Arabidopsis thaliana: one gene and its partner. The protein of the gene in region 1 interacts with the protein of each later gene in a pairwise test. Each region holds a gene or a part of one and is shown on either strand. Other genes may lie near its edges.

Region 1 (6,389 bases):
ACAACAAGGAGAAGTTTCTGGCGAAGTTAGGGTTGGCTCGAGTTCTCAATTCCAACTCTTCTTCAGCTGATCGTGAGACGGGTGATGGAGATTACTTAGTCTCCACGCCCTTTTGCTCACACAAGTTTTCAACAACTTGCTGGAGTGAATATCTCAGCGATGCTCTGAAGAAGAACAAGGAGCAGAGAGGACTCATCTCTTGCCTTAGCCAAGACTGTGTCGCCTCTGTTGGACCCGATACGATCGAGCAACTCACAGAGCCAGTGAAGGAGATGTACGAGAATTATATTCTCGAATCCTTCATGGAGTGCCACAAGGCAACGATCAAATGGTGTCCTGCTTCGGGTTGTGAATACGCCGTCGAGCTTCAGGAGGATGGTAATGAAGATAATGTCATCAGTGTGGTCTGTTTGTGCGGCCATACCTTCTGTTGGACATGCGGGCTCGAGTCACACCGTCCGGTGTCTTGCAAAAAGGCATCAATTTGGTGGACGTACCTGTTGGATCAGTCAAGAAGCATTTCTTGGATCCATACAAACACCAAAAGTTGTCCCAAGTGCAAGATTCCTGTGCAGCAGAATGGTGATCCTAATTACAGACTCATTAATTGTATCTGCAGGTTTGTTTCTTTCTGAGCTTTAAAACATGTGCAAAATATTATATCTTTAAACTCATTACTATGTTTTCTTGACTGTTATGCATCATCAGTAATAACTTCTGTTGGATCTGCTTGCGCACGGAGGAACAGCATCAGGGGAACTGGAATTGTTCTCCAGTCGCTGTTCCAGCTGCGGGTCCTTCTACCGTTGAATTCTCACAGATTCTCCACCTGAATCTGTGGGAGGCAGGTCATGAAGCATTGAAGAAGGCTAAGTCCAAGCTGAGAGCCTTAGAGGAAAAAATCATTCCGAAACTGATCGAGAACTGCGGAGCGACCGAGCTGGACATTAGGACAGTAAGAGAAGCAGGGATGCTTAGTGTTCAGTGCAGGCAGGTACTGAAATGGAGTTGCGTATTTGATTACTCTATAATCGAGTACGAAAGCACGAAGAAGCAGTACCTGAAACACCTCCGAGCTCTGGCGAGCACAATGCTTTGTATGCACGAAGGGAAGCTTGATGAGTTGATACATCTAGCCCTCTCACCTGAAGATTTCACTAACTATAAGCACAAGTTGGAAATCAGTACAACATGCACTGGTAACCACTTCGATGGATTCATCAAGGAACTGGAAGATGGTAAGCCTGAAGTGAAGGCTGATGGTTACGAGAATGAACCAGGCAGTCGCTGGTTCTGTGATAGGTGCACGTTTGAGAACAGCTGGGTTGATAAACAGTGCAAGATGTGCTTTTTCCCCCTGGACTATCATCCTTCTCCTCAAGTGGCAGCAGCTCCTGAAGACCTTGGAAAATCGGAGTGAGAGTGAGTGATGAGTAAAGGATAAGTCTCATCAGTGATTGATGCTGGTTTCGTTTGGTGTTTTAGCTTCTCTTGTGTTGTTTTGTGTTTAAGAGTCTCCTTTGTTTCTCTTTCTCCTCTCTGTGTTGGATCATCATCCATCATATTGGTTTAAGAGTCTTGTTGCATTTGTCTTCTAAGTCTTTGTTGTTGTTGTTGTTGTTGTTGTTGTTGTTGTTGTTGTTTGTTGGTGTTTATGTTTGTGTTTCCTTGTTATAATATTTTTTGTAACATGAAAATGCAAATACAAAACTTCAGAGGAACAATAAAGTTTAAATCATGGTTTCGAATATAATGTCTATTGAAGAACAAAAGGTGAATTTCAACCATACATCAAATATATAAAATAAGAAAAAATCCGGTGGCTGAGAATATTTAACGGTAATGTAACACTCTGCAACAGTATCTTCTTCCTCTACACTGACACATTTCGTCGAACACCTTTCGCTAATGTCAGTGAGCAAGTTTCCACATCTCTCTCATGGCGTTCACACTATCAATTTCCTCAATGAACCAGTGTTTTTAAGTGTGTTGCTCCCATCTCCCTCTCGGATTCGAGTATTCTCGTCCATTTCCACCTCCGGGATCGGCGGCGGGGTCGCCAAGTGCCATGGAACGAGACATAGCGGCGCCGGTGGTAGAGGTGATAACGGGTTGAGGAGAGATAGTGGATTAGGTTTCGACGAGAGAGGAGAGAGAAAAGTGCGTTGTGAGGTTGATGTGATCTCGTGGAGAGAACGGAGGATAAGAGGCGAAATCTGGGTCGATTCTGATTCTCAATCTGTTTGGAATGTTCTTACTGATTATGAACGACTTGCTGATTTCATACCCAATCTCGTTTGGAGGTACTTCCCTCAGTAATACCCACTTTTTTCTTTCAGATTCTTATCATTTTGTTTGTGTTTATCTACAGAATTCTTCTGAATAATCTCTAAAGATTCAATTTTTATGTTATCTGGTTCATGCCATTGAAATTGTTTATACTGAATACAATGACTATACGTCTCCAAGAGAATGCTGAATCTCCATGCTTAGTTACCTCTCTTTGTTGATGGTATATTGTTTCAACTTGTAGTGGAAGAATTCCTTGTCCACATCCAGGACGTATATGGCTGGAGCAACGAGGCCTTCAAAGAGCCTTGTATTGGCATATTGAGGCTCGTGTTGTCCTTGATCTCCATGAGTGTCTAGATTCTGTGAGCACTCTTAAGCCTTTACTTTTCTCTTGCTGAATGATTGGGATTGAGTCTAAAACCTGCAAACTCTTCCGGATTCTGTGGTCTCTTTTTTTATGCATATCTTAGCTTTTGTTAAGAATCAAGAGGTTTCCTTTACACTGGATGATCTGTAATCATGGTTGATAAGGAGTTGCCTGCTTCCCACTTTCTCTAGATCCTTATTCCTAACCTCTTATTAGTTCTAGAAAAAACAATCATAGTGAGGTTTACTCTTGAAAATATCCATGGTTCTAATGAGTTCTCTTTCAGCCTGCTTTGCACTCATTGCATTGGTTACTTAGGGTACAACAAGATGTTATTTGTAACAAGTAGTTTTGTTGTTTGGTTAATTAGTTAATCTTTACTCTTGAGTTCTTATATTACATTTGTTTCTCAATCCATACATCTCTATTAATGTAGTTTTTCCTATTATCTTATTAGCCAAATGGTCGTGAGCTTCACTTCTCTATGGTAGATGGTGATTTCAAAAAGTTTGAGGGAAAGTGGTCTGTGAAATCTGGTATCAGGTACACTCATTAATCCCCGTAAGAAGTTTGTGTGCTCATCCTATCATCATTTAAATTAAATCCTCTATAAATGTGTATCAGAGAAATTCTTTCTGTAAACAGTCTGTTATGCATTTCTAACCACGGATCATTTTGGAACCATCTATGTTCCAAACATTTGTTTTTCTCTTTCTCCAGGTCCGTAGGAACTGTCTTGTCATACGAAGTAAACGTAATCCCAAGATTTAACTTCCCTGCCATTTTCTTAGAGAGGATAATCAGATCAGATCTTCCTGTAAATCTCCGGGCCGTAGCTCGCCAAGCTGAGAAAATTTATAAAGATTGCGGAAAGCCGTCAATAATAGAAGATTTGTTGGGTATAATATCTTCACAGCCAGCCCCTTCTAATGGTATTGAGTTCGATAGTCTTGCTACGGAGAGATCTGTTGCCTCCAGTGTTGGATCATTAGCTCATTCAAATGAATTGAACAACAATTGGGGAGTGTATGGAAAAGCCTGCAAGCTTGATAAACCTTGCACCGTGGATGAAGTTCATCTTCGTAGATTTGATGGTCTATTGGTAAGTAGTTTGGCTCAAAACTTACTCTATATACTATGAAAAAAAAAAGTTTTCCCATCTTTTGTGTTTATGAGTCAGTGGTTTTTTTCTTGGATGAAGGAAAATGGAGGTGTTCACCGATGCGCCGTTGCTAGTATAACAGTTAAAGCTCCTGTTTGTGAAGTTTGGAAAGTTCTAACGTCTTATGAGAGTCTTCCAGAGTAAGTACCGAACACATATATTTATCATATCCGGGCTTCACTGTTCTGACCTTAAGGAGGATTTTCTTGTCAATCTTCTTCAAATATTTGTTGTGTTGGCTTATATATATCTCTTGTTCTTCTGCGTTTATTGTTCATGAACCTATCAGGATAGTTCCAAATTTGGCAATCAGCAAGATTTTGTCACGCGATAACAATAAAGTCCGAATACTTCAGGTATGAGCATTCTCATCCACGGTTACCTTGTAATCAAATTTGGCAAGGACTAGAAGGAATCATTCTACAAGTACTTGTATTGGGTACTAACACTGGAAAAATCTGAAGAGAGAATTTGGTTGCCAAAATATGACTCATAATTTGCTCTTTCATGATTCAGAAAGGCTCTGTATTTAGTCTGGTCTTGAAGATCAAAATTCTGATACTGGCCAAAGCCAATGTTTCTTTTCTTGATTTCAAGAAATTATATAACTAAAACTGAATTCTGTTTTCAGGAAGGATGCAAAGGCCTGCTTTACATGGTGCTTCATGCAAGAGCTGTTCTCGATTTGCATGAGATTCGTGAGCAGGAAATCAGATTTGAACAGGTTGAAGGAGACTTTGACTCGCTAGAGGGGAAATGGATTTTTGAACAACTAGGAAGTCACCACACACTTCTCAAGTATACCGTGGAGTCCAAAATGAGAAAAGATTCATTTCTTTCTGAAGCAATCATGGAAGAGGTTTGGCTTACAATTGACTGAGTTCAGTGCAATCTTTTTTTTTTCTTATTGGAACCACAATGTTTTCTCTGAATCTTTTCAGGTTATATATGAAGATCTTCCGTCAAATTTATGCGCTATCCGGGATTACATTGAGAAAAGAGGAGAGAAATCTTCAGAGTCATGTAAACTGGAGACATGTCAAGTTTCAGAGGAAACATGTTCTTCATCTCGTGCCAAATCAGTTGAGACAGTTTACAATAATGATGATGGTTCAGACCAAACTAAGCAGAGACGGAGGATTCCTGGTCTACAAAGAGACATTGAAGTCTTGAAATCAGAAATTCTCAAGTTCATATCAGAACATGGACAAGAAGGATTCATGCCCATGAGGAAGCAGCTTCGGTTACATGGAAGAGTTGACATTGAAAAAGCCATTACAAGAATGGGTGGATTTAGGAGAATAGCTTTGATGATGAATCTTTCACTTGCTTATAAACACCGAAAACCGAAAGGATATTGGGACAATCTCGAAAACTTGCAAGAGGAGGTAAAGTTTCTAGACATGTTCAAAAATTAAAACCACTGTTGCCATGGTGTTTACAAGAGCTTCTCCCTCTGCATGTGGTTGCAGATAGGAAGATTTCAACAGAGTTGGGGAATGGATCCATCATTTATGCCGAGCAGAAAATCTTTCGAACGAGCAGGTACAAACAGTAAACTCAATTTAAGCTCTGTGTGTTCTTCTCAATCGGATTGGTCTGAGAAACATTTGGTCTGTTGTTTCAGGTCGTTATGACATTGCTCGGGCGCTCGAGAAATGGGGAGGATTACACGAAGTATCTCGTCTTTTAGCATTGAACGTGAGACATCCAAACAGGCAGCTAAATTCTCGTAAAGACAACGGTAACACGATACTGAGAACTGAATCTACTGAGGCCGATTTAAATTCAACGGTTAATAAGAATAATAAACCTTACGTCTCTCAAGATACCGAGAAATGGTTGTACAATCTTAAAGATCTTGATATCAATTGGGTTCAATATTGAAGCATTAATTATGTACATTTCACTATTTGTGTAGTCTTGTAACTCGCAAAGATAAACATGTATTTATGTAAATTGTAACATTGGATTGAAATTATCTGATCTCTTTTTAATGTTTCATCTGTTTTTAGTGTTTATATTTCACTTTGATAAAATAGAGTGAGAGAGCACCGAACAATAAGGAGGATAATAGCAAGGAACAAAGAAGTAAAGGTAAGTCAATGAAATTTGATAGTGATGGTTTTAAGAAAAAACGAAAGTCCCATCATTGTCTTCCTTCAATGTGAAATGAAGTTACACGTAATTAGAAACAAACTTCTTTCTAGGTTTTAGATTATTACAGAACCAAGTCTCAGAGGTCTTGACTCGTGACTGAAGAGAAAGGGTCAAGATATTTGGATGTGAATTGTGATGTGAAAAAGGAAAAAAAATCGAGATTTTAAAAGGGAAAATCAATAGAAAATATAAAATGCATGCATAAATCTAGAAATGATAGGTGTTTAACATTGAAGGCAAACTATGAGACAATCTTGAATCTTACTACTTTATACAATAGCTCTATATGTTATGACTTATAATAATTGGGACCTTCCTCGAGATTTAGACAGACCCTCTAACAGCTGAGAAACATGCATGTAAACAACATTTTTCTTTTTGATATAGATTAATCAGGAGAAATGATGA
Region 2 (4,962 bases), on another chromosome or scaffold:
AAGCATGCCATGCTTCATGTCACATGCAAGCATACCTGCAGAAGTTCGTGAGGCCAGAGGTTTGACGGAAGATCTTGTCCGTATATCTGCAGGAATTGAAGATGTTGATGATTTGATATCTGATCTTGACATTGCCTTCAAAACCTTCCCTCTCTAGTTTTGGTTTGTTCTTGTCTCAGCTTTTGTAGTTTCATAGGTTCTTGAAATAAGGATCTATGTAACAAACCATAAAACATAATTTGGTGTTTGAAAACACATCAAGCAATAAATTCATTATTGTTAGATTTGTTATGTTACTTGTTTGGGGTTAAATTCTGTATTATCGGCTTCAAAGCCAACAACATAAGTAGTACGGATCTTTCTTCAAAGTGAAATACAACTCTTATCAAGATTCTTGATCTGTGGAGCAGGGAGAGGACACAGTGAGCAACTTGTCCTGAGGTTAGGTAAGAAACAAGAACATGGAACAAACCATGACACATCAGCACCTGAATTTACCAGATTTATACCTTTTTGTTCGCTAGGACAGGTAGGTATACATGATAAAGTAACATTGTGAATTGAATTGAAAACAACAGTTGGCAAATAGAGTGACATCTACAGATCCTTCATACCATTTTCAGATAGTCAAGTTGGAGTGTCTTTAAAGCAAAAGTAAAGAGTGAAACAAAACTGGGAACTGGGTTATTAACCATGTAAGATTTACTGATGTACTTATAAACATTATCCCCACATACAACATCATCATCATATTCCCCTCTCTGCATTCCCTACTGAAACCATGTACTGTACCAGTAGAAGCATTCCTAAGAAAATCTACAAAAATCTAAATCAGAAACCGAAAAAAGAAGTATCATAGCTGGTAGATCAGACAGCGGTTGCGATACCGTCGAATCTAGGACGTGCTCTATCAGTTGAAATCCCTTCTTCCACTGACTTCCTCTTGTTGTTGATACTCAATGTTTGCTCCTCTTGTTGAACTAATAGCAGATCTTGTTGCAGAGGCAAGATTTCAATTTCAATGTTTGTTGAATCTTTAATCTCTGGATCAGCTACTGCAGTGGGGACTCCATTTTCGACTTTTGAAGTTGTCTCAATCTCCTCCAGCTTCTGGTTCTTCAACTTTGTTTTCATCATATGAGGTTTCAACTTGTTAAGATCAGCCAATCTTACTGGTTTCAAGAAAAACTCTTCAGCTCCTTCTTCTAAACATCTGTTCATGATCAAGACACAAGAAAATTTTCAATTAATTCCCGGGGAAATGAGAGATTGAAACCACAATCTAAAGGGGAACAAACTCAAACTTCATAGGTTCAATCTTTCTTTACCTGCTGATTCTTGCAGGAACGTTCTCTGAGGACATGATAACTACTGGTATATCTCTAAAAGCTGATGATTCCTGCAAAATTGTAGAACAAGATAATTCCCAGATTAATCAAAAGATTTTATTTATACACATCAAATAGCATATAATCTCATCTCCTATTGACATTCTCTCACTTTCTTGACTGAAAATATGAAAACTTTCCTCTTAAATTAGGAAAAAAAAGTACCTTGACTTTCTTGAGCAAATCATAACCAGTCATGCCAGGCATACAATAATCTGTAATTATAAGATTCACTTCAACTACCTGTTGAAAGCAACCAATCAAACACAACAACTTCAATAACAACAACAACAACAACAACAAAAACAGAAGAAAAAGTGATTTACAAAAATAAAAGAGCAAACCTGGTGATTAACAGGAGCCTTAGAAAACGCATTTGGGTCGTTACTATCAGTACTTTGTCTTAAACCCAGAAACTCCAAAGCCTTTGAGCCAGAATCAACAGTTGTTACTATAAATACCAAACACACAGAAAAAAGCTTAGATCTTTCTTCGACCATTATCAAACAAAGATTGAGACTTTTTTCTTGTAACACACATTTATACCTTGACACGAAGACTTTTGAAGCAATCTCTCAATAAGTTTCCGATCAAATAAACTATCATCAACAGCTAAAACATGAAACTGCGATTCTGCTGCCATACCCATTGCAGAAACTTGAAGATAACAAATAAAGAAGATCTTATCTCAAATCGATGAACCCAGATGTAAAGTCTTCGACTTTTTTTTTTTTGTTCTTCACTAGAAACAATCAATTATTTTCTTTCCTATCTCCGGGATTTGATGCGATTTTAGTTTTAAATTTACGATGCTGAAGCTTAGGTGAGGAAGAGAAATAAAGAGTCTGCACTTAAAACAAGATCTGATTGATTATAACTCTTTTTATTTTTCTTCTTCTACCAAATCTTTGCAAAAGAGAGAGGGAAAAATGAATAGAACTAAATTAGCTTTGAATTGTGGAGAAAGCAAAGTTACTAATAGAACAAAAAACAAAATATTTTGTTTTTTGAAGAAGACAGCGCAGAGGAAGGAAAAAAGACAAAGTTTCCTAAATAAAATAAAATAATGAAAACAAATCTTTTGCAGGATTTTTAAGGATTAGATAATAGGTGGCCTTTGCTTTATATACTACTACCACAGCCGCTTGATTTTAGTATTTTACACCATATTTGAAAATATACATATACAGTATATCATATATGCATAAATCTAAAAATCCTTTTCTATATAAAAATTTTATACAAAAAATATGTGTATAACATATCACATCATCATCTTCATTTTTTTAATAAGTTTTATCATAAATACAAAAAAATATAAGTATCGACAAACATATAGATTGTGAATGGTAACAAAAACCGCACCGCAACAGTGCTTTAACAGTATCAAAATCTTTATATATACATATGTATCTATATATTTTTGTAACTATTTGAATCGTACCGCACTTCTCTCGTACCGCAAAACACACTTTCCATGTACCGTATTTCTCCCGTAGTCTAATTCGTAACAAACATATTAATCGCCTTTCTCAAAAAAGAGAAAGAAGAAAAAGAGTCATGTAAACTTAAAAACTTTTTCTCCTAGTTTTCTTCATAATATACTAAAATGTATCAAGTCTTCCCACACTTTGAAGTCTAAATTCATGAAGAAATAAATGGAGAAACGGGACCCGCCAAAATCTTGAGAGATACAGATGACGTCATCAAAGATGCCTCTTTTTTTGTTTATCATATATCATTAAATTGTTTACTTGTTTTTTTGCTCCAATTAAATTTAATACGTAAATGGAGAAAACAATATTCAGCAAAACGTGAAATAATGAGCAGTTGGGTTTGTGGTGGCAACGACATGGCAATTTTAAATCGATTCTCTTCCAAAGATTTGTTTCCCATGGTCATGCCCCATTCACCATCATCATGATTGCCATTATCAACATGTCCATCTACTATATCCGATACGTGTCTAACTTTTGGGGTCACACGTCAAAATCTATCCAACAAGACTTATTCGCCTAATCACAATGTTTAAACACGGTGATTAAGCTCCCATTATGCGTTCAAGGCATCCAACTGCCACGATTTATATCAAACCAGCCAGGATAATTGGGAAAGATCAAGCCCATCGATGAAAAGAAAAAAATATATATCGGTCATGGATTAGGGTTAATTTCCAAAGTATTTTCGTTTATTCTTACGTCTATAGCCGAAATGAAATCTTCTATCAATTAATCCGAAATACTACCGTAATTCAACATGATGAGTCCACAAGTTTTTTTTTATAAAAAAGAATCGACTTTTTTTTAACACAGTGGACCAAATAAAAGACATGAAAGAATAAGGCACTCAAGTAAAATTCAAAGAAGGTGAGGAAGGAGAAATGAGAAAAGGAATCAAAGGATGGTGGATTTGACCAAAAAGATATGGCTCGATCGAGTTGTCTATTTAATGGTAATCCACAATGTCGGGAAGACAATGCTTTTAATCCACAATAGTAGACAATGGATCTTCAATTTATTACATATCCTCTCTTAATATATCCACCATCCATTTCTCCTTTATGAGTACCCTCTCTCTCTCTCTCTTCTTCTTCTTTCTAACACAAACACCTTCATCATCATCACAGCTTTTGACCCTAGATAAAACATTACGAGACACTCGTCACTTTTAGACCGGCTGTTTTATCAAAGTATTTGGGTTCGAATCTGACCAACAATGATATTCAGTTGGAAAAAGGACGTAATAGTTTTTTCTCACTGACCTAAAAAGCCGAAAGAAGAACCAAACTTATTGACATTTCCATCTCTAGAACATGTTATAAATTTATTATTAGATTGTTAATTCGAACAAATTATTTGTGTTTGTGTTTATTAGTTCAAACGTCCAGTTTACTTTACAGAAAAAAATAAAACATTTGATATTTATTAGATAAACACGATAATTTAATTAACATGTTAATTGTTAACGTAAGCATATATAAATTAGGTACGAAAAATAATAAAACGCTTAAACAATATATGATAATTGGTTTTTATGTAGATAGAAGTGAACTGAGAATGTCATATTTGGTGGATGTGTGTCATAGTGACATGTGAAATGGACCACATGCAATGAAATGAACGTAATCCGAGTAGTTTTCGGGCGAAGCGAGGTAGTTGAGTGGCTTATATCCCTCGTTATGATATTTGATCGTTTTAAATTTCATTTATTTTTGTGTTTTTAGTATCCTTTTGTGGGTTGTTTTTGCTCGATGATATCTTCGATATACTGCATTCAGGTCTATTTTCATTTATATGCCGTGTATCATCTAGCTATATATATAGAGAGAGTAAGAAAGTACTCTTAGTAATTACCAAAATAGAAAGAAAAGTAAAGTAGAAAAGTTGAATACTAGATAGGGTACTTATATATATGTCTTTAATTTAACTCGGATGTAGTTAAACTAAAATTAAAACTTAACACACCATAATTCACTGATAAAAACTATTGGATAGAATTAACTTTTTTGAAGAGTATATAATTAAAAATGAATATATATAATAAAAGAAGGCCAAAAATAAAATAGTGAAGTAGT

What was found. Proteins that work in one complex are often made in the same cells at the same time.
Region 2: the proteins of AT5G08720 (region 1) and ARR9 interact in a two-hybrid assay, tested with the Arabidopsis thaliana proteins (one large-scale study listed by BioGRID).

What each region holds. Positions count from the first base shown.
Region 1 is NC_003076.8:2,840,855-2,847,243, reverse strand, and holds AT5G08720 (polyketide cyclase/dehydrase/lipid transporter), read left to right. Parts: upstream 1-1,713; 5' UTR 1,714-1,908; coding exon 1,909-2,303; intron 2,304-2,533; coding exon 2,534-2,654; intron 2,655-3,116; coding exon 3,117-3,202; intron 3,203-3,379; coding exon 3,380-3,761; intron 3,762-3,860; coding exon 3,861-3,961; intron 3,962-4,110; coding exon 4,111-4,177; intron 4,178-4,452; coding exon 4,453-4,680; intron 4,681-4,762; coding exon 4,763-5,209; intron 5,210-5,293; coding exon 5,294-5,366; intron 5,367-5,448; coding exon 5,449-5,708; 3' UTR 5,709-5,836; downstream 5,837-6,389. Other genes in the region: ARI16 (IBR domain-containing protein), read left to right, coding at 1-619, 709-1,420.
Region 2 is NC_003074.8:21,107,134-21,112,095, reverse strand, and holds ARR9 (response regulator 9), read right to left. Parts: upstream 3,038-4,962; 5' UTR 2,833-3,037; exon of another isoform or gene 2,792-2,832; intron 2,683-2,791; exon of another isoform or gene 2,234-2,682; 5' UTR 2,038-2,233; coding exon 1,935-2,037; intron 1,840-1,934; coding exon 1,733-1,839; intron 1,632-1,732; coding exon 1,554-1,631; intron 1,400-1,553; coding exon 1,329-1,399; intron 1,214-1,328; coding exon 868-1,213; 3' UTR 529-867; downstream 1-528. Other genes in the region: CBL (cystathionine beta-lyase), read left to right, coding at 1-157. UniProt on the Arabidopsis thaliana protein: Functions as a response regulator involved in His-to-Asp phosphorelay signal transduction system. Phosphorylation of the Asp residue in the receiver domain activates the ability of the protein to promote the transcription of target genes.